Mytilus edulis: one gene and its partner. The protein of the gene in region 1 interacts with the protein of each later gene in a pairwise test. Links are inferred from orthologs where the notes say so. Each region holds a gene or a part of one and is shown in the gene's direction. Other genes may lie near its edges.

Region 1 (11,180 bases):
ATGTAACACGTCTTCTGATTGGCTGACGTTATTTTGTTATGAGCCCATAGACATAATTTAATCATGTGACCATGACGTCATCAATGTTTTTTCAAGGTTTTCTACGGTTTAAAATAGAATTTAGAATTAAATGATAAGAAATGACTGTATTATTTTTTCTGTCTATTCGAAATAACATAAAAAATGTGGTGCACATGTACACTGTTAAATAACCCGCTACGCGCGTTATTCAGTGTGCACCAATTTTTTTATGTTATTTCTTCATAGACAGAAAAAATATTACAGTCATTCCTTAAATAATCTTCATTCATCTTTCACATCTTTTGTAAAGTATGTCAAGATGTAATTTGATTGTATGAATTAAATTGATTGACAATTGTAAAAAAATATATATAAGAAAAATCAAACAAAAAGTAATTCATTACTGATATAAGTACCAGTAGCAAATTTTAAAAGCTGAATATTTATGACAGTCTTTTCACTAGATTTTTCCTTATTTAATCCACTGACTTATCAAATTATCTTTTAATTCTAACATTGATTAAAAAATATACCAAGCTTTACAGTAAATCTTTATATAACTTTTTAAAACTTATCCCAATGAATAGGCATCAACCCCATACTGTACAACTAATTCCTGTAAAACTTTAATGATAGCCTTTCTTGTCAAGATATTTAAATCCTTTAACAACTTACCCCAGTAAACCTTGATCCCATCCTTTAATAACTTGTCCAGCTCCTAATGTAAAAACAAATGGTTCTTTCCTTGGTATACTGCTGTCAAATTCTGTACCATCTTCTAATTTACCCTGAAATTTATCAAAACATTTCTACTTCTATGCATGCTTTGATGAAGACAAAAAAAAAGTAGAACCACCATTTTGACCACAAAAAGAGAAATAGAAAGAGCAAATTGAAACTAATAAAACTCCTTGGAAAAAGATGATATTTTAATGTATCAAGTTCTTTTAATTACTGGAATGATATTACTATACACTGTACTGCCAACATACATATTTTCATTAGTAATTTTTTTTAAACTATTTTTGGAAATTAGTTTTCTTTATTGTTATTTTACTTTAGTTTGTAGTCAAATCTTAATTGATTTTTATACATTCAACACTGAGTGATAAATAGGGTGTTTAAAAAGTGTATAAAGTCAGATATAGTATATGATACATTGCATAAACAGGAAAAAATGGGTAGCTGTTTATCATGTTTATTTTGTTTTAAAATGCCTTCAATTACACAATGTGAGCAAACCCTGTATATGTGTAGAGTATCTACTTACATGTATGATAATAAAGAAATTGTTTATTTTTTCGAAAAACAGGATTTTCTTATCCCATGCAAAGATTACCTTAGCCGTATTTGGCACCATTATTTGTAAGTTTGGGTCCTCATTGCTCTTTAATTTTTTGCTTATTTTGATCTGAGCGTCACTGTCAGATGAGTCTTATGTAGACCAAAGGCCCGTCTGGCGTATTAAATTATAAGCATGGTAACTTTGATAACTATTTATATATCATGTAACATGATATATAAATGTAAATATACATTGTAGTTATCAAAGTTACCATGATGTATATAAAACATGTTCAGGACGTATGCATTGGTAATAATTTTTGTTCTTTTAGATGTGTATTATATGGGGACGAAGTCCCCTATTACAGTAATAATTCAATAAAAAAAAAAAAAAAAAAAAAAATCGGGAAAATTTCCCGAATTTTTCATTGTACTAATGAACTCAAAATCGTTCAATTTTTTTTTGTCATGTTTTTTAATTTCCGGATCTGCGCAGAACACATAACTCTACTTCCTTCTTCCGGTCTTGTTGTCGTGAGACTTTGATTAGTCTAGTAAAATATAGGAACTCAAGGAACACAATACCAATATTTCATTTTTAATCATTCTTTGTCTTTGGTATGAATAAACGTTAGGCCTACCTGATGCATTGCGTTTCTTTGTTTACATTGAACATGACGTCATAACTTAAATAACGTCACAAGTAAAATCCCTAACAACAGAACCAAAATCGGAAACGTTACGGTATTTCCGTATCTTTTTTTTTTAACAAATATTTAAATTACAAAAAAAATAAATTTAAACAAACTTCATCCCCATTCACAGGTAATGCCTGCCTCATATTACACTTACAGTATAATGCATGTGAAGTGTATCTCCTTTTCTAGATTTGACTGTACAGTTGTCTACCCTCTTCTTCACACCAATCTGTAATTTCTTCTTCTTTTCTTCTTCTCCAGCCCAAGCTTGTACAACCATTAACAGCACCAACAGACCATTTACAACCCAGCTTATCTTCATTCTGAATTTGAAATCACATACATTTAAAATTTATAATTTATAATTCTAAATGACAACCTCTCTTTCATGACGGAACATTTATAAGTTTGATTGATTATATGTAATTGAGTGATAATAGGTGGTTATATGATTTGTTTTATACAACCACTTCAGCACTATTGGTAATTTCAATCATGATGGCCAGTTTATATAACATGTATAAGTGGGAGTATCTAGAGTGCCCTGAGAAAACAATAGAAAATTGATAGGATAACTGGTCAATAGACAACTTTCGAGTTCGATACATTTAGGTCAAAAACTCTGGTTTTATTGAACATTGTTTGTGCATTTAGGAGCATCGTCACTTCTGTAATCTGTTCCAATGTTAAGCAAGTGGTTGGAAAACTATAATGCATTTTTGCACAAATTATTCTGCAAATTAAATTGTCATAATTGACAATCAGCACTGCTGTCATGGCATGATGCAGGAGTTGTGATAAAGTACTTACAAAACAAACATTATTTCTAGTTTATCTTGCACAATGACCATCACCAAGACCTTGATGAACATAAATAGTGCAGGGATACAGGTGATCCCCTCTATCTGGTAAATGATGTCATAAAGGCGGGCATGGTTGACAAGTTTTTTCTGGTGACGGATGAACTCGAAGGTGGTCTATTGAAATTGATGTACAAAGAACCTGTCTTGTGCTGGGTTCAAAATCTCACAAAAATTACTGCTGACAGACTGGTGATGCAGTAGATTGAGACCCCAATTGAAGTTTGAAGATGGTTGATTGTGTTCAATTTTTTCTCATCCTACCTTTACTAGCCATGCTAGCTGTAGGGTTTATCATCTTTAGTTTGAGCTCAACAAACATTGTACAGTACTAAACATGTATGTCATGTATGTACATTTGTACAAACATTTGTCTATGGAATACGCAATTACCATCAAAAACAGTTTGTTGTACTCTAGATGTCTTTTGGTGTTCATCATATTTCATCACAGTGGTGGATCCAGATTTTTTCATATTAAGGGAGGTTCCGCTGACTGACTTACAATGTATTTTTGCTGGTATCCCATCTGCTCCAGTTGCTTTTTTGACATTAACTTTATTTATGATTTTTTTCAGAAAAAGTGGAAAAAATCATAAATAAAGTTAATGTCAAAAAAGCAACTGGAGCAGATGGGATACCAGCAAAAATAGTTAAAGCTAGCAAATCTGTCGTTGCACCTCAGCTAACCAGTCTTATAAATTTGACTGTGGACACGGGCATATTTCCAGACAAACTTAAAGAAGCCCAAGTTACACCCTTGCATAAAAAGAGTGACCCACTACTTAAATCAAATTACAGACCAGTCAGTGTGTTACCTATTTTTTCAAAATTTTACGAAAAAATATTTGAAATACAGTTATACGATTTCTTTGATTCCATTTTTAACCCTTATTTATGTGCTTTCCGTAGAGGACATGGATGTCAGACTACGTTGCTCAGATTACTGGAAGACTGGCGTAAAGCTTTAGACAAAAACTTATATATAGCTGCAGTTCTTATGGATTTATCAAAAGCTTTTGACTGCTTACCTCATGAAATTTTACTAGATAAATTACTAGCATATGGTGTTTCTCCACATTCAGTATCTTTATTAAAATCATATCTTTCTGATAGAAAACAGCAAATTAAAGTAAACGGTGTTCTGAGTAGCTGGGCTGACATCCAAAAAGGGGTACCCCAAGGTTCTATATTGGGGCCCCTTTTATTTAATATCTTCATAAATGATATTTTTTATTTTGTTAAACATGGTACATTATATAATTATGCGGACGACAATACTCTGTCTTTTAGTAGTCCGGATTATGACCATCTCATATCAACATTAGAATCTGAGTCTCAAGTGCTTATTGATTGGTTTAAAGAAAATAAGATGCAGGCAAACCCTGATAAATTCCAAGTTATTGCTGTAGGGAAAAGAACCTTTGCAAAAAATCCATCTATACAAATTCAGCAAAATATTTTATCATGTGAAGAAACAGTAAAGTTACTTGGAATTGATATTGATTACCAACTAAAATTTGATGCACATATAAGTAACTTGTGTAGAAAGGCATCACAACAGCTGAATGTTCTCAAGAGAATTGGATCATTTTTAAACAGATTAAATAAACTTACAATTTTTCATACTTTTATTTTGAGTAATTTTAATTTTTGCCCTTTGGCTTGGCATTTTTGTACAGAGAAAAATTCTAAAAAACTTGAAAAAATACAAGAGAGAGCATTACGATTTGTATACGACGACTATTTATCATCCTCTGAAACTCTTCTTGAGAATGCAAAGGTTCCAACCCTACAAGTAAGACGCATCAGGACAATGGCACTTGAGACTTATAAAATTTTAAATAATTTGGCTCCTGTATGTTTACAAAATTTAATAAAAATTAAACACACTAAATATTCTTTTAGATACAGCAATATTTTGGATGTACCACAGGTAAGAACTACCTCATATGGAAAAAAATCTTTTAGTTTTGCTGCTGCTACTTTATGGAATAGCTTACCTGACCACTTCAGGACTGTTAACAGCTTCTCACATTTTAAGAGTCTTGTACAGTCCTGGAGTGGAACAGAATGTTTTTGCTCTGCCTGTAGATAACTTTGTGTTACAATATTTATGCTTTTTATGCTGCATTAACAGCCTGCGTTGCAACTGAAATTTTGTTTTTTACCTTTTAAAATTTGAAAGATTTGAAATTTTTTACTTTATAATTCATAAATTATTTAAAAATTAATTTTTAAACAGAAAATTTTTAAAAATTTTAGTGCTTCATATATATGTTTTGGTATTTTGCAAGATACATGTATTATCTATTTGCTTAGAGTTAATTTTTGGTGCTGCTTCTTATTATTTATTGCATGCTGCATGCCTTGTTTTATTTGTTATTGCATATGTTTTTATATTCGGTGAAAAGCTCATTAGAGCTTATGTTTGTATTGTTTGTCAATATGCCGAATCCAAATAAAGTTTTACTTACTTACTTACTTACTTTGCTCCAGTTATGCTTTAGTGATTCCCTATATAATCAACCCACAAAAATTGTACAACAATGCTTTTCATGTCAATGAAGATGTTAATTTGTATGTTACATTGAAGAAGCAGTTCCCAGGTTTTTATTAAGTTGATAATGGGCTTATAAATTTTCAATGAAACGAGAAACAGGTGGGGGGATTGGTGCATTATGGAAAAATAACATTCTGTCACAGGTTTTTTTATGAATCTACAAACTGTTTCCTTTGTCTACTCTAAATACATGTACATATGGGTCATCAAACAGAATCATTTGCACTTTTCCATTATGATGTCAGATATTTTGTATTTGTTGAAATTTTACGTGAACCTTTTAAATGTCCAGTTATGGCAAACAAATAGCGATAAAGTGTATTGATGCAGCATTTGGTTGGTCTGCATAACTACAATTTACAACTGTAGTTCATCAAAAAACACTAAAAATTAGACTATTCATATAACTTCAATGTCCTGCAGCGTAGCCAGGTAAAAAAAAAATAGCAAATAAACGCCTTCGGTGCTTGAAGTTGTAATAAAGCTAAAACAGTAAAAAAAAAAAAAAAGTTAAATGTTTTTCGTGGACTGTAAACAACACTCAAAACTCAAACAGACAACAGTGCCACTTGAGACTTTGAGCGTTCTAACTCTTGCCATCATTTCAATCAATTTAGAATTTCCCAAATGTACAAACGTTTGAAGACAATTTTGCTTACATGTCTTGTTTGTGCTGTGTAATTACTGACGTGTCGTATCTTACTTCGTTCGCCGGTCAGTTGATCAGTGTTGTATTAGATCTTTCTTATCAATGAAGATTCTGTGATCAGGAAAACACCAAGATGATTTCAAGAAATATCCAAAATTATATCTGGTTTCCTTATGTGTTTTCAACCAGCACATGCAATTACATATAGGGGACCAGTACAAACGTTTTACTATCAACTTCCGGTTAAAGCGGCGGCACAAGCCAAATATTTTGTAACTGCAAATAATCTATTTGCATCAATTCATCATCATGTCGTAAGAACAGTTTAATATCCTTTATCACTTATTCATGCATATTTCCTATTGTTTTTATCTCAATTTTCGTTATTCTCATCCTTATTTACACGGATTTTGGTGTTGTATTGACCACCACAAGTGTTTGTTTACATATTTTTTTGCACGGTTCACTGTACTAAAGGTCTCCATCCTCATCATACTTCCTAACACAAACATGGTGTAGCATACAATAAGATAATATTGTCGAGAATTTAATATAGTTGTTTTAGAAATACAAAAAATACTACCGGATCTGGCGTAAACAAACCAATGAACAGAACTCAAGAAGGGCCTTCCTTGTTTCACTTTTAGTTTATAAATGAGATGTGTTAATAATTCCCAGTGAAACAACTTATTTTCAAAGAACAAGTAACCAAATATGTAAACAATTTCTATTCACAGTTGACACTAGTCCTATAACATATGACTTCGTATTTTTATTCAATTTTTAACGTTTTTATACTGATATTTTCATTTTTATTTTTTTTTAAATGCGAAGTCATATAGAGATATGTTAAATTCTTTTAGCACTTTCCGACATCATTTCAGGTTCGGAACAAAATTGCTTAAATCTTCTTTCTATGTCAAATATTTAACGGGCCAAATATCATTTTAAATAACTTAAGCACGAAAACTATTAAAAAAAATACTTACTTGTGTTAAAGAAATAGTTAATCCATCACTTTAAGAAAATTTTATTCATGAGTCGGAGCTCAATAACACCAGTTTAAACATGGCGCAGAATAATTTTCGTAATATAAAATCCAAATGAAAAAAAACAAACTTATGGCATCGTTAAACGACGATTGGTTTCAATCTTTTTTAAATGTAATTTCTAGCTTTAAGATACAGAATAGAATTTAGTATGTTTCAAAAAGACAAAAAGGAAATTCTTATTAGCATTTTTATGAAACAATATCCTTGAAAGAAGGGAGTTAATTTTCCACACCACATAATCAATCATTGAATAGTTTGTTTTTTTTAAATCTCAATTGCAAAAACTCCCACATTTCCTAAGAGAACCATTATGTTTTATGGGTCCTGGGTCGTTCCTATGTGTACAGTGTTTTTAAAAAGCTCTAGATCTCCAATATTATAACATGACTGAATAACATCACATCACAGATATTACTAAAAAAAACTAGGGTCCATTCCAGTGACGTCAATCATTTTTAAAAACAAAAACATGTATAAGTAAAAAAATTTCTGAACTGTTAATGGTAATTTAAAAGTTTCAAACTGTAAGCAAATACATGTAATTAGACTCTTTATCTTGCACTTTTATATCAGTTTATAGTAAAACGGTTGACTTCTTATGTAAGGCCACATTGAAAAGAATGTCTGTTTCCCCTCCCCCGGGTCTACCCTTTGTAAACAGACCAGGAAGGCAGGTTCTTTTTTTTTTTTTTTTTTAACTGGATGTGATTGTCATAGCATGGTCACATGAATGGTTTGACTTGTATAGTCCAGGCCACTTATCAGTTGTTTGTGCTCAATTTGAGTGTATTTATTAAGATTATCAAACCTTCTGCTTTCAAGTACTTTCCAAAAATGGAAACAAATTATTTTCAGGAAAAAAAATAATTTCGATTTTTTTGTGGAAAATAATTTTTTGACCCGGGTGGGGGGAGGGGAAACAAACATATTTTTAATTTTGGCCTAACAGATATTTTTGGACGTTTTCCTCCCAAATCAGCATTTAACCATTCACTCATAAAAACATACATGTACAAAATGTATCAGTAATGACCAGTGGTATAAAATGTGTTTCTAATAATTTTGACTAATGATGAAATTTACTGGGTGAAACTGCTTATTTTATTTAGTTAATCTTGTTATCAATATCTTTTAATTGATCTATAATAAAATGACTTTTGGTAGTGTCTTTCTTTTTTAAATGATGTGACAATTAACCAGAAGGGTTATATGAAGAGTTAAGTATTAAAAGTAAACCTGTTAATTACCCAGACCATATGAGTATATACCCATATGGTCATGACCATACGCTTATGGTCCAAATACTCATATGGTCCAGAACATACACAATGCATATTACCACAAAATACAGATCAAATATGAATTTTGTAGACATCACTTTAACTGTTCTAGAGTTGTATAAAATGGTACCACTAATTCCATTCCTGATAAATGATATCACAAAGATTTAAGTTAAACTGCATTAACATTATATATTGTATGAACATGATTTAATTCATAGTTAATTGATATTTTATTTTATTTTTCAGTGCATTATTACAAAAACCCAAAAGTGAGATGACTCCAGAAGAGTTGTCCAGTAGGGAACAAGAAGAGTTTAATACCGGTCCCCTGTCTGTACTGACCCAGTCAGTAAAGAACAACACTCAAGTCCTTATCAACTGCAGAAACAACAAGAAATTATTGGCCAGAGTGAAAGCTTTTGATAGGTAGGTATATCAGCAAGACTGAACCATTGCATTTACATGTATGTCCCATTGCATGCATTTGTAAACTAATTCGAACTGTCACAGACAAATCATTGAGGGTTGTGATAGTAATCTATATTATTGTTTGTATTCCTTTCTTCAATTATGACAGTGATGCAACCTCTTTTTGATTTTTTTTTTCAACTTTGAAGGAGCATCCAATTTCATGCAAATTTGTATATTTTTATTGATGAAAATAAATAACAAACTGCGAAATCCAAATACCAATAACCTTAAGAATCTCATCATGTAGCATCTGCCTCACATCACCATCTGATTTCGTTTATTATGATTATTTCAGACATTGTAATATGGTATTGGAAAATGTGAAGGAAATGTGGACAGAGACCCCTAAAACAGGAAAAGGAAAGAAGAAATCCAAGCCAGTGAACAAAGACAGATATATCTCAAAAATGTTCTTACGAGGAGATTCCGTTATCTTGGTTCTCAGGAATCCAATGGCTACCAGCAAATAAATGTACAATGGTGTTCCATGGAAAATCAGAATATTTTGTATTGTAAAAACAGGACTGCAAAGATGCAGAATTGTGTATTTACTATGTTATCTGTCAGACTTGTTCTCTCTCGATAGGCTGGTAATTTCAAATTCAAACCGTGGAGTCTTAAAAAGACTTAAATATCTTTTAACAAAACAAGATCTTTGTTCAAAATAGTTTTGGTTTGTTGCATCAGATTTGAATAGAAATGACTTGTTCAATCATGATTTAGATATTCTGACACAAACTAAACGTCTAAAACAAAGTAATTTTTACATTCAGTCATTTTCATTCATTCAAAGTCATTATTTTATATGTACATTAGCAAATGTTCATTTTATACTAATAAACATGTTGTCATGAGAAAGTTATTTATTTACATTTATAGTACACATATAAATTGAGAATTGAAGTGCAGAATATATCACAAAGAGACAACCTGACCAAAGAGTAGATTGGTATTCAACACAGCAAGAAAAACCCACACCCAGTGTCTGTCTTCAGCTGGCTCCTAAACAAAAATGTGTACTTGTCCAGTGCTAATGGAAGTCATACTAAATTAAAAGACTAACGAAGACCAGAGGCTCCTGACTTTAGGCAGGGTTAAACATATTTTGTGAGATCTCCCCCTCCCCCTATATCACTAGCCAATGTATAATAAACAAACAGCAATATGCACAGTAAAACCACAATACAAAAAAAGACCTAGTCTGATGTCAGAATAGTTAACAAAAGAAACTAAGCAAAATGACAATAAGACATCATGTACATGAATTAACAAAGGACTGCTATACATTTTTGTAGTAGAATAAACATCATTGACTTAAATAACCCATCGTACAAGCATACTGGTAATAAGTAATGACATCATGAAAATGAAGCATAATGAATTGAATTGGGCAGTGTGTCTTGCTTCTTTGTTTTTGAAAACTTAAAAAAATGTACAAGCCAACTAGCATGACTAGGGATTTCAAAAAGTTGACATTATGATTTGAAAACTAAGTTATGGATTATATTCCAGGTTGCCCTTGCCATTCTGAAATTATGCCTTCTAAAAAAATAGTAATTTAGACATTTTCTTTTCTTAGTTACCAATTTTACTTTTCATTATCCTGCTCAAGGAGTTTGCAAGAGTTTGGGATATATTGGAATCCTCATGTTGGTCATAATTTGTTTCCAGATGATAGACTGGATTTTTGGAGTTCCATTGAAAGCTTTGATCCGCCTTAGACAATGAAAGACAGGTTATTTTTAATATTGTCTTTTTTATGGCACCTCAACAAAGTTGTTGGAGCCATATCCGTTATTTGCAACAAGCAATTTTTATGCATTTTTTATACGACCGCAAAAAAATTTGGTAGAATATTGGTTTCTGGTGGTCGTCTTCGTCTGAAGATGGATTGTTTCCGGATAATAACTTTTGAATAAGTAAAAAGAAATAAATAAAATTTTAACACAATGTTTATAACCACAAAAGGAAGCTTGGGATTGATTTTGGGGTTTATGCTCCCAAAGGTTTAGGAATTAGGGGTTCAAAGGGGCCAAAAACAGCATTTATCTAGTTACAGGACAAAAAGATGTGTATTAGTATTTCAATTGTTCTGAAATTTTACCACAATGTTTAAATACCATAAGTAGAAGGTTGGGATTTATTGTAAGGGGTTCTTTGGGCAAACAGTGTAGGAATTTAGGACCAAAAAGGGGCCATAAACAAGCATTTTTCTAGTTTACAGACAATAACTTGTGTTTAAGTGTATGGATCTCTATAAATTTTTACAAGAAGGTTCCAATAGTTTAGGAATTGGGAGC
Region 2 (11,273 bases), on another chromosome or scaffold:
GTGACATCTACCATGTAAACATTTTCTGTGTCATATCACATTAAAGTTTAACTGTTTGAACCTTATTGCAGTAACATTTGTTAAATTGAATTACACCTTTTTATTTGTATGTGAAATGTGCTGATAAGCTGTCATTTAATATTGGTTGATTATAAGCATGAGCACTCTAGATTCCGCTGACTGCTACAGTGTAATAAGATTTTTTATTTTGGTCTATCAATGAAAACAAGTGAATATCAATAAATATTTTTTAGTTGAGAACAATGACACTTACATTGTAACTTTTTTGAGATTGAGAAACATGAAACTATTTAAAAAAGGTAACTCCAGGTAATCCAAAGGGTACCATAGACAAATTCTGCTAGCCTAGTAATACAAGTAGTACACATCATAATGTTGCTTACAAAAAATAACCATCTGGTCATATTTGAAGATGAGTAATAAATGAGGAAAAGGATGGGAGAGTTGTTGCAACAACAAAAAAAAAACAAATTCTGTGGTCTTCTTTGATAGATATGTCAACCATGTTATAATAAGATCCCCTTACATAAATAATGATTCAAGGAACAATTACTTTTTTTGTACAATGTATAACTTACTATTCTGTGAATTTGACTGGTAAGTTTCACAATCAACACAAAAGTTTCCAGATCTTGTAGCTCCTAGTAATTCTACATTTTTCTGTAACATATCAACTGCTTGTTGTCCACTCTTACCCTCAGGCACAGCATAGCTAAAAATACTACAAAGACAAAATTAGAACAAAGTTGAATATGATTATCAAAAAGGGATATCAAAGGAAACTGAAAAATATAGGACAGAGACAGCCAAAATTTGGCCCTTAATTTCAAACAATAGCATATATACATATATTGTAACCTAATTACCAATACTTGCAATCTTAAATGTGCAAAATTAAAAAAAAATAACACATAAACTAGATATTTTCAAAAGTTTAGAATGCTTTAAAAAAATAAAAAAATTGGGAACGTATCCAAGGGACACAGATTATGCCTTCACTTACTTGTGACATTATAAACATGATAAAGGGACATAACTCAAGAACAGTAAAGAAGTGATCTCAAGTCACCCAAACCTGTACTTGATCTGAGTTTTGTGGTAATAAACATTGTGTATAAGTTTCATAACATTTGGTAAAGGAAAACTTAAGTTAGAGAAAGACAAATTCAGCAATATTTTCAATGGTAAGGGGGCATAACTCTTGAACAGTAAAGGTAACACCACCAAAATTTAAAATTGCTCTGTGTTTTGTTGTAATAACCATTGTGTATAGTGTATACAAGTTTCATAACATTTGGTTGATGAAAACTAAATTCAGATAACAGAAACCAATTTTGGGATGTATGGACATACAAACAAACAAAGGTTATATTCTCTCCTTTTCCTTCAAATTTGCTGTTAAACTGCATTTTAAACACTGGCCATACCCTTTGACCAAAATATATATGAAACAGAAAAATAGAAAGATATCTTTGAGATTTTGATTTTCACCATTAATGTGAGGAATTGTGACATCATGAAAACATAATTACAGGAATGCTAATTCGTTTAAACATATCTATTTATAGTGGATTGGAAAACAAGTTTTGTAACTAATATTAATCCCTTTCCACTTTTAGGAATGCTAATTTTTTCGTAACCTGGTCGTTTTATACCTGGTTGATTCGTAACTACGTTGATTTGTAACTGAGGCGTTTCGTACCTGGTGTAATTATATATGGTTATAAATTGTTAGTTTAAATCAATTTAATAGTTTAATTTAAACAATTATTTTCTTAAAATGATCAAAATGTTCATTTGAGGCCACACCAATTTGATTTGTACTTCTTAGGACAAAAGCTCCAAAAAATATTGGGCAAGCAAGAGAAATTTTTTTGATTGTATATATTTCAAGAAATTGAGTTTTGATGAGGCAGGTGCTCTACAAGTGGAGTGAGCGGTAAAATGTGTTTTTTTAAATTGTGCAATTTAAAACTTTATCTTCATGTTCAAACTGGGTTACTTCAAAGAAAAAAAAGGAAAAACATGATCCATGTCTTATGCATATAATTAGATGTATGTGTGATGGACGTTAGAGTGATCTCGTACTATGTCTGTTGAACAGCTGAAACAATGATTGGGGATGACAATGGATCTAACGAGTACAAATGTGATCGTGGTCATCTAACGAAAGATTTTTTATTTTATCTCCTAGAACAGGTCTTCATAAATAAAACGAAATGCATTTCAAATAACTGTGTGTTTAATACCATAACTACTGGTACTCTATAAAATTGAGAATGGAAATGGGGAATGTGTCAAAGAGACAACAACCCGCCCAAATAAAAAACAACAGCAGAGGGTCACCAACAGGTCCTCAATGTAGCGAGAAATTCCCGCACCCGGAGGCGTCCTTCAGCTGGCCCCTAAACAAATATATACTAGTCCAGTGATAATGAACGCCATACTAATTTCCAAATTGTACACAAGAAACTAAAATTAAAATAATACAAGACTAACAAAGGCCAGAGGCTCCTGACTTGGGACAGGCGCAAAAATGCGGCGGGGTTAAACATGTTTGTGAGATCTCAACCCTCCCCCTATACCTCTAACCAATGTAGTAAAGTAAACGCATAACAATACGCACATTAAAATTATCTCTGTACTCATGGTACTTGTCCTTTGCAATAAACTGACACAACTTCATGTTGGCATCCTAATTTTTGACCTTTTATTAACAAATCTATTTATCACACGTGCATTTGAATCGATGGATGTGCACAAGAAAAACATCTATGAGAAAAAAAAATGTCAAGGATAAACAAAAAAATGTCAATGATAAACTAATTTTGGAGCGGCATGCGGCCCAAAAATTTGCAGAAGAGATAATTATTTTTTTCATTGAAAAGTCAATTTCTCCAAAACAGGAGCAGGAAAATCCAAAGAACTATTAATCAAATTGGTGTGGCCTGATAATAACAATATTTTCAATTAAAACTAATTAGTAATTATGCTCGGTGACAACTTTAATGGTTTAAGGACAACTAATGGCAGGTAATAAAAAGTAATAACAGTAGGTACAAAATGAGGTATAAAGTGAATAGTAGAGTATTAAAAATGGCACACAAGCTGAAAAAAATAATTATTTTCTCCTTTTTTTTGTCAAAGATAGAATGAATGGTTGTCGATGACAGCTTTGGTGTTAAGGTTGTTGTGCCATCACTCTACGTCGTTAATAATGGTGGGATGGATTGCATAAACACACACCAACTTGCATTTGGCCACTGTCGACTGTTCAATGTTTTTGAACATACCGTAGAACTACTCGTAGACGACCAACTGGAGCCATGTCCTTTAGCTTGTTAAAGTCAGTACTCATATGCTCCACTGGCCATTTACTTATGACTCGCACTATTATAAATATATTGTAATTATAAGGTTACAAACGTCTCAGTTAGAAAACGACCTGCATCCCATTAGATACAATATTTTTTATAATTTAAAAAGTAAGCAAAAGTTTTATACATATTTTCATCAATTTTCTATAATTCTACATTTTTTTAAATAGTAAATTTTATTTCATGGGAAAAAAAATACTGAACTCAGAGGAAAATCAATTCGGAAAGTCCATAATCACATCATGCACATGGCAAAATCAAATAACAAAACGCATCATAAACAAATGGACAAGAACTGTCATATTCCTGACTTGGTACAGGCATTTTCAAATGTAGAAAATGGTGGATTGAACCTGGTTTTATAGCTAGCTAAACCTCTCACTTGTATGACAGTTGCATCAAATTCCATTATATTGTCACCGATGCATGAACAAAACAAACAGACACAATAGGTAAAAATGTCAAAAAATAGGGGTACAGCAGTCAACATTGTGTTATCATCCTAATCACTAAAAACAACAAATGTAACGAAGAAGCACAAAAAGGCATACATCAAATTTTTTTCAGTACCAGTATTAGCTCTTCAAAAACCTGGATTTGAAGAGGACTGTACATTGACAAGGACAACAGAGAGACAATAGATACCTGACAATAATTGTAGATTTAAACTGTGTCACTGAGTGGACCATATCAACTGAAACTCAACAGTTTGTTAATTTCATTATCTTTAGCAAGGACCAAAAAAAGTGCACAGTGAAATCTAGTTATTTTTAGTCTTCTACAATATGAAATGACTTTGAACTTTTTTTAACCTATACAGATTGCGATTTCTTAAAATGAGTTAGGTGCATTTAAGCTCATGCATTGAACCTATTTCAAACAATTACCACACAACTCCCATTTCATTATTTTTGTACAACAAGGGACATAACTTAATATTTTATTTATTCATTGTTTTCAAACAAAACGAATTTTAGTTTACCATATATTAATGTGTAACTAAATTCATAAAATTCTAGTTAATTTAACTAAAATCGCTTCTTTTGATGTAATTTCACTAAAATTGATGTATTGTGTAAAATTTAGAATAATTTTGATTAAAATGTTTCGTTTTTTTGTGGGTTAATAATTTCTTATTATTTATTAACCACCGGCGGCGAAACGAATAGACCACGCTGTTGTTATTAATCGAATCACACAAGAAAACACACGATGGCCGTACGTATATACTGATCATCTTCGATGCACAGTTCTTAGATTAACCCTACTTTTCTGTAAAATGACCAATCTATGAAATTCCGCTTTAAATAAAGGGAATCCAGGATGTCATATAAAAAGGGGGAGGTCATAACAAAGCGCATTTTATTTGTGTATGCATTTTGAGACTACTATAACACATGCATTACACCATTATCTTGCATTTCATTTAAATTTATCACTTAAACCTACAAAAAATAGTTTATGACGCAGAGCTAAATACTGATACTATCAGTGATGGGTCCATCTTCCAATATATGTCAATCTAAGAATTAGTCTATGTCTGTTTATCTGTTTATACACCTTATCGCTAAATTATCCCGGCTGACCCGACGGCTTGAACTTTTGACATCGTACACAATCACTTATCCATTGTGGCGTCAGATATTTCGTTTATGACGTCAAAATTTTATGGGAACCTGTGTGATATCCAGTAATGGTGGACAAATAGCGATATGGTGTATCAGTGGTCTAGCTACAAAGTTTGAACAGGGCACAACGCCCGTGCCTTTTTTCTGCTGTCCCTCAGACGACCTGCTGATTTGTAAATCTTCCATGAACAAGAAGTTCAGCTACCTGTGCAAACTGTCAAATTAAGTAACCCATTAAGTGCATGGCTTCTTCTGACAGCTTTGGTGTCAAACACATAATTGTCAATTAACACAAATAATCTTAGCTTTAGGTCATGCAACATAATTTGTGTATATCAACAAAATAAGTTACTTCCCCTTATTTTCCACCTGTTCACACTATATTCTTTAAATTTATGTTTCTTTTTGTAAAAGGATTAAAAATTAATTTAATGCAAATGCATATTAGAATATTTCTTTAAGTTATTTTCACTTGAATACACTTCAAAATTAAATATTTTGAAAATTATATCTTTACTTCCATTAACTGATCTATCAAGTGCAATCTAGTATAAAAAAATCACAAAATCTGTTAATACATTGGTGAGACTGGTAATATAACAGCAACTACATACATGTTATATGAAAGAAACAGCTTCCTGAAAGGGTCTCAGCATCATGACCATAGATTTATGAAGTCAACCATGAAAAATTTGCCAAAAGTATTGAATTTGAAATATATTACTCCATTTTAACTGAAACTTGAATTTACAAGAATGCATAGTAAAAGTTATGTGCTAATTAATTATGAGGCTTAAATAATTGCCTTTTTTTCAGTGACATTAATTAACATGTAAAATTGCCCTTTTTTCAATGGCAGTTACACGTAAAATTGCCCCTTTTTGAACTACATGTAGCACCATACCCTTTTCAAATCCTGGCTAGAACACTGTGTATTATAAATAAGCCTGTTTGACAATTTTGGGCAATTCTGTTCACTGAGCAATTATAAGAATTTGATTTGCCAAATAATTTGTGCAATATACATTGTAGCATCATATCACTTGCACAACATAGTAACGGAAGTGAAGATGCCCATAAACATTCGAACAATGTTTACTAAAACGGAAGTTATTGCTGGAAATGTAATGAATTCAAAAGCTGTCTATAAAATGAGCATTTTGTTTAACCACAAATTGCCTGCAGAAATTGTCAATAAATGTACTTAACAGCCTAAAACAGAAAGTTCAACTATGCTATTTTGAATTTCCAGTGGAAGATAAAAGTTTCAGTTCTAAACCCAATTTTATAAATCTAGACAAAAGAAGGCTTTGAAATGTCAGTTGATGTAGGACCTACATTGTGTACATGTACATGCAAGATAATAATTAGCTGACTGTTTTTTTTTATTACATTATACTTTTTATTGTTAAGAGATGAAAAAGTTATGGAACATACATGTAATGTTATAAACATGTACTGTCTACAAACTTGTTTATATGACTTATTTAGTATGATATAATAAACACTATTTTGTGTATTTGTTAACTTTTTATTTTGTTTACTTTTAGGCTTTACCTATGAACCCGAAACCATTTTTAAATGGACTAACAGGAAAACCAGTGATGGTCAAGCTAAAATGGGGAATGGAATATAAAGGCTACTTGGTATCTGTAGATGGTTACATGAACTTACAGGTCAGTTGATTTATAGACACCAATAAACATTATGTAGAAGACTTGCCTTGCAGTACTTTTAAGTTTTGTCTCCTTGAAAAAAAATTGTCATAATCATGAAATATTTTATTTTTAAACATTGTGACTGTATTCCAAAATGGTTAAGTATAATATATTTCATGATTATGACAATAAAGGGAAATTCACTCTCTATAAAGAGTGGTTTAGTTTACTTTGGTTTTTGTTGTGCAAATAAATTTCAAGATCCATTTTGATTGTCTTTTATTTATGAATTTTCTTTTGAAATCACAACAGATTTTTTCTTAAAACACAGACAAGCAGGACTAAAGTTTTTGTGTGATCATTTCTGTCTGTTTATGTTGAAACATGATAAATAATGCACATTCTTAATATTTGAGGTAAATGCTTCTACACAGATACATGTATAGTCATTTATATTTTAGGTGAAATGAATTAAGAATAGTCAGGCAATAATACATGTAATAAAAAGTGGAAAGTTTTAACTTTGATTTTTTTATGAAAATCGTACCAACAAAATAAAAAAAATGGCTGTGCCCTTTAAACATGCTAAATCAGATATTATTATATATTATATAGTATTCATGTTTCATTTTTTTGGAATTATTGATAAACTTGTTGATAAAAGTTACATGTAATGATATTTTCAAGATGTGAATTATAATATCTCATACATGTACATGTAGATAAAAATAAGTAGATCTAGCTTCAAGGAAATGTGAAGTGATAAGTTTTACTAAAGCTTTGTGTATTTTATGTTTCTAGCTTGCTAACACAGAAGAATTCATTGATGGTATTCAGACAGGCAATCTTGGAGAGGTTCTAATCAGGTATTTAATTAATTATAAAGAATAATGTATAATTTCCTTTCACTTTACTGCAAATATTTCAAATAGATTAATTTTTTGAGCTTTCAGTTTTGGAAGAAATGTTGTGCAAGTATTGTTTTAATTAAATGCACACTGAAGATAGTCTATATGTCAATTTGTAATTTAAAAAAAGTATTAAGCTTTGTTTCATGTATTTTCTAAGAATACTTAATCTTTATTAACTTTATGTCCCCTGCACACAACACTTTTTGCAGTAGCATAGAAATACCAGATGTCTATCTGTCTAGTCTTGAAAGCATTCTCACATATACAATTCTTCCCAGATTTTTTCGTTCTTATATCAAAGGTTTATATCTGAAAACTTTTGAAAATTGCAAAACTTAAGGGGCATTCGTGTACTAACTCACATTCCCCTTTTATGTTAAAAAAAGTTATGCCCCTTGAAAATATGAATTATATTGAAATTGCCTTGGAAGTGCTGTTCAAGGCCACCTTTTTTCTATAAAGATATTTTTTGTTATTCAAAATATTGCCCATGGACAAATAAACTATGCACAATTCAATGGAATTTTGTTCCTTTGTTCACCTTTCATTTATAACAATAAATTTCCAGATGTTTATTATTATTATTATAAAATATTTGAAAGTGTGATACACATCAATTTCTTACCGGCAAAAAATGTAAAAAAAGAAAATTCATGAATTAGTTTCATCCAAAGGGAAAACGATGGCAAATATGAAATGTCAGCCATGTATGATAAAATAATTTAACAAGATTAAAAACAAAAATAACAAAGATTCAAAGTGTAGCAAAAAGAAAGTTTGAATCATAATTATTAGAATGACTATACATATTAGATAAATAATGTCTGTTACTTTTCTGTTTCAGATGTAACAATGTTTTGTACATCAGAGGAGTGGAAGAAGAAGATGAAGAAGGAGAAATGAAGGACTAAGATCTCCATTTTACCATCTCTCATTCATTCATTATTGTTATCATCTCATCTTTTGATGGACACATCTTTTTATAAATTTTGAACATTTTAATCATTTCCATTTGAATATCATGTTAATGTATGTATTCTATAAATTGTGAAGTGAATCATGGATGCAAAGGTTATTGAGCAGGAACTAAGCCATCTTCATACTTTTTTGTATCATCTCATTTACTCTAAGGCAGACAAGACTTGGAACAAACATAAAACAATTAACATCGCATATGATACATGGTTATAAGATTTTATTATGTTGTACATATATTGTTTTAACAACAAATAAAGTAATTTGTTGTGGTATATTAGAGTTTTCTATAGGCCCAGGAATATGTAGCTCTAATCAAATGATTTTTAAAAATTGTATGTTAACTTTTGTTTACTCACTTTTTCCAGTTTATATTTCCTTATAGCAGTTTATAAAGTTTTGCCTTGTTTGAAGGATAAAAGTATACAAAAGCAGGTATTTCCTAATTTATAACCAGAGCCAAGACATCTCTATCTGATATCCTTTCCATTACTTTGTCTTTCCTGCGTGCAAAATGGGTTATGTTTTGAGTTAAGTGTGTTGTCCAATTTGCTGAACTAAGTATACATTATTGTTCGGGCCAGCTGATCTTTGCTCTTTGGTTGAGTTGTTGTCTCTTTTACACAACCCCTGTTTCTGTTATCAAGTCTTTTATTTGTCCATGTTTTCAGACAATCACTCTTCCAGTTCCTCGTAATTTACAGTTTTGATGTAATGGTAAAATGTTAAGATTTAAAGATAGGATAAGACTATTCATTTCTCAAGACTGGTGATACCAAAGTTAAAGGATTGCCTTCATACATTTTCTCAAAGATGGGATTCCTGTATGCTCAAATTAATTTTTTTAACCAGAGATAAACTGGCAGTGACGACAATCATTATTGGTACAATGTTAAAAGTTCTTAAGATTTGTACAGGGCTAAGTTTTTATGATTGACTATTGTTTGCTTAACTGAGGCAAATATTTCGTGTATTTTTAGGATGAGAATAAACTTACAATGAATACACCAATTATGATTGACCTCTTGCTTAAAGTATACAAGAAACAGACCAAAAAAATGAACAATGAACATGAGGTCATGGTCAGGTGAAGACTGTCAGACAGACATGTACAACTAACAGTAACAATCATTCCGTACATCAAATATATAGTGGACCTAATTGTTTATAGTATCTGAGAAACAGATTTCATTTGGAAAATTAATATTTAAAACAATAATTTAAGGTGAAAGTCAGATAAACCCTGTACGGCAGACATGTTCATCTTACAACCATTCCAAATAAAGTTGACCTACTAATTGTGGTATCTTACAAAAGGATTTTTTACTACAGAAACTTGACAATTCCACACCAAATATAGTTGACCTATTACTTATAGTGGAAAACCAAAATACAAAATTTCAGACCAATAAACCGTGAAAATGAGGTCAAGGTACAAAAAAAATATAAGAATTCACATGCTGAAGTGTCTCTTGTCTGTTTTACTGATTATTGGTTTCATGGTCAGTCTGAAATTTGAAGATTTTACTACAAATATCACATCAACTTAAAAATTATCAGCATTCTATGAAAATGAAGTCGTAGTCTGATCAAATTATTTAATATACAATACATAATATTATATGTCTTTGGTCTGATGAACCATACCATTTCGTTCATTTTTGTAAATAAATAAGGCCAGTAGTTTTCTCATTTAAATTGATTTACATTGTTATTTCATTTCATTTCAGCCTTTTATAGCTGACTTTGCGGTATGGGCTTTGCTCATTGTTGAAGGTCGTACGGTGGCCTATAGTTGTTAATTTATGTGTCATTTTGGTCTCATGTGAAGAGTTGTTTCATTGGCAATCATATCACATTTTCTTTTTAGCTCACCTGGCCTAAAAGGCCAAGTGAGCTTTTCTCATCACTTGGCGTCCGTCGTCGTCATCTGTCGTCGTTAACAATTTTTCAAACATCTTCTCCTCTGAAACTACTGAATGGATTTGAATGAAACTTAAAATGATTGTTCCTTAGATTATCCTGCACAAAGTGTGTGCTTCGATTTTTGATCCGTCAAAAAACATGGCCGCCGTTACTTAAAATAGAACATAGGGGTCAAATGCAGTTTTTGGCTTATATCTCAAAAATGGAAGCATTTAGAGCAAATCTGACATGGGGTAAAAATGTTCATTAGGTCAAGATCTATCAGCCCAGAAATTTTCAGATGAATCAAACAAACCATTGTTGGGTTGCTGCCACTTAATTGGTAATTTTAAGGAAATTTTGCAGTTTTTGGTCATTATCTTGAATATTATTATAGATGAAGATAAACTGTAAACAGCAAAAATGATCAGCAAAGTAAGATCTACAAATAGGTTCATATGACCAAAATTGTCAATTGACCCCTTAAGGGGTAAATGTCCTTTAATGACAATTTTTCACAATTTGTTCATCATATTTGCTAACTTTAAAAAATCTTCTCCTCTGAAACTACTGAATGAAATTTGGATGAAACTTAGCATGATAGTTCCTTAGATTATCCTGCACAAAGTGTTTGCTTCGATTTTTGATCCGTCAAAAAACATGGCCGCCGTTACTTAAAATAGAACATAGGGGTCAAATGCAGTTTTTGGCTTATATCTCAAAAACGAAAGCATTTAGAGCAAATCTGACATGGGGTTAAAATGTTCATTAGGTCAAGATCTATCAGCCCAGAAATTT

The links.
Region 2: the proteins of small nuclear ribonucleoprotein Sm D2 (region 1) and small nuclear ribonucleoprotein F interact in binary tests that used the Caenorhabditis elegans proteins (3 or more experiments, as listed by UniProt). The link is inferred for Mytilus edulis from reciprocal best matches to the Caenorhabditis elegans genes snr-4 and snr-5.

The regions. Positions count from the first base shown.
Region 1 is NC_092346.1:9,273,656-9,284,835, forward strand, and holds small nuclear ribonucleoprotein Sm D2, read left to right. Parts: upstream 1-6,249; 5' UTR 6,250-6,383; coding exon 6,384-6,388; intron 6,389-8,655; coding exon 8,656-8,835; intron 8,836-9,175; coding exon 9,176-9,350; 3' UTR 9,351-9,738; downstream 9,739-11,180. Other genes in the region: peptidyl-prolyl cis-trans isomerase FKBP2-like, read right to left, coding at 697-809, 2,158-2,325. UniProt on the Caenorhabditis elegans protein: Plays a role in pre-mRNA splicing as a core component of the spliceosomal U1, U2, U4 and U5 small nuclear ribonucleoproteins (snRNPs), the building blocks of the spliceosome.
Region 2 is NC_092344.1:16,047,431-16,058,703, forward strand, and holds small nuclear ribonucleoprotein F, read left to right. Parts: upstream 1-4,527; 5' UTR 4,528-4,610; coding exon 4,611-4,616; intron 4,617-6,576; coding exon 6,577-6,702; intron 6,703-7,485; coding exon 7,486-7,550; intron 7,551-8,439; coding exon 8,440-8,506; 3' UTR 8,507-8,845; downstream 8,846-11,273. Other genes in the region: mediator of RNA polymerase II transcription subunit 20-like, read right to left, coding at 600-742, 3,315-3,349.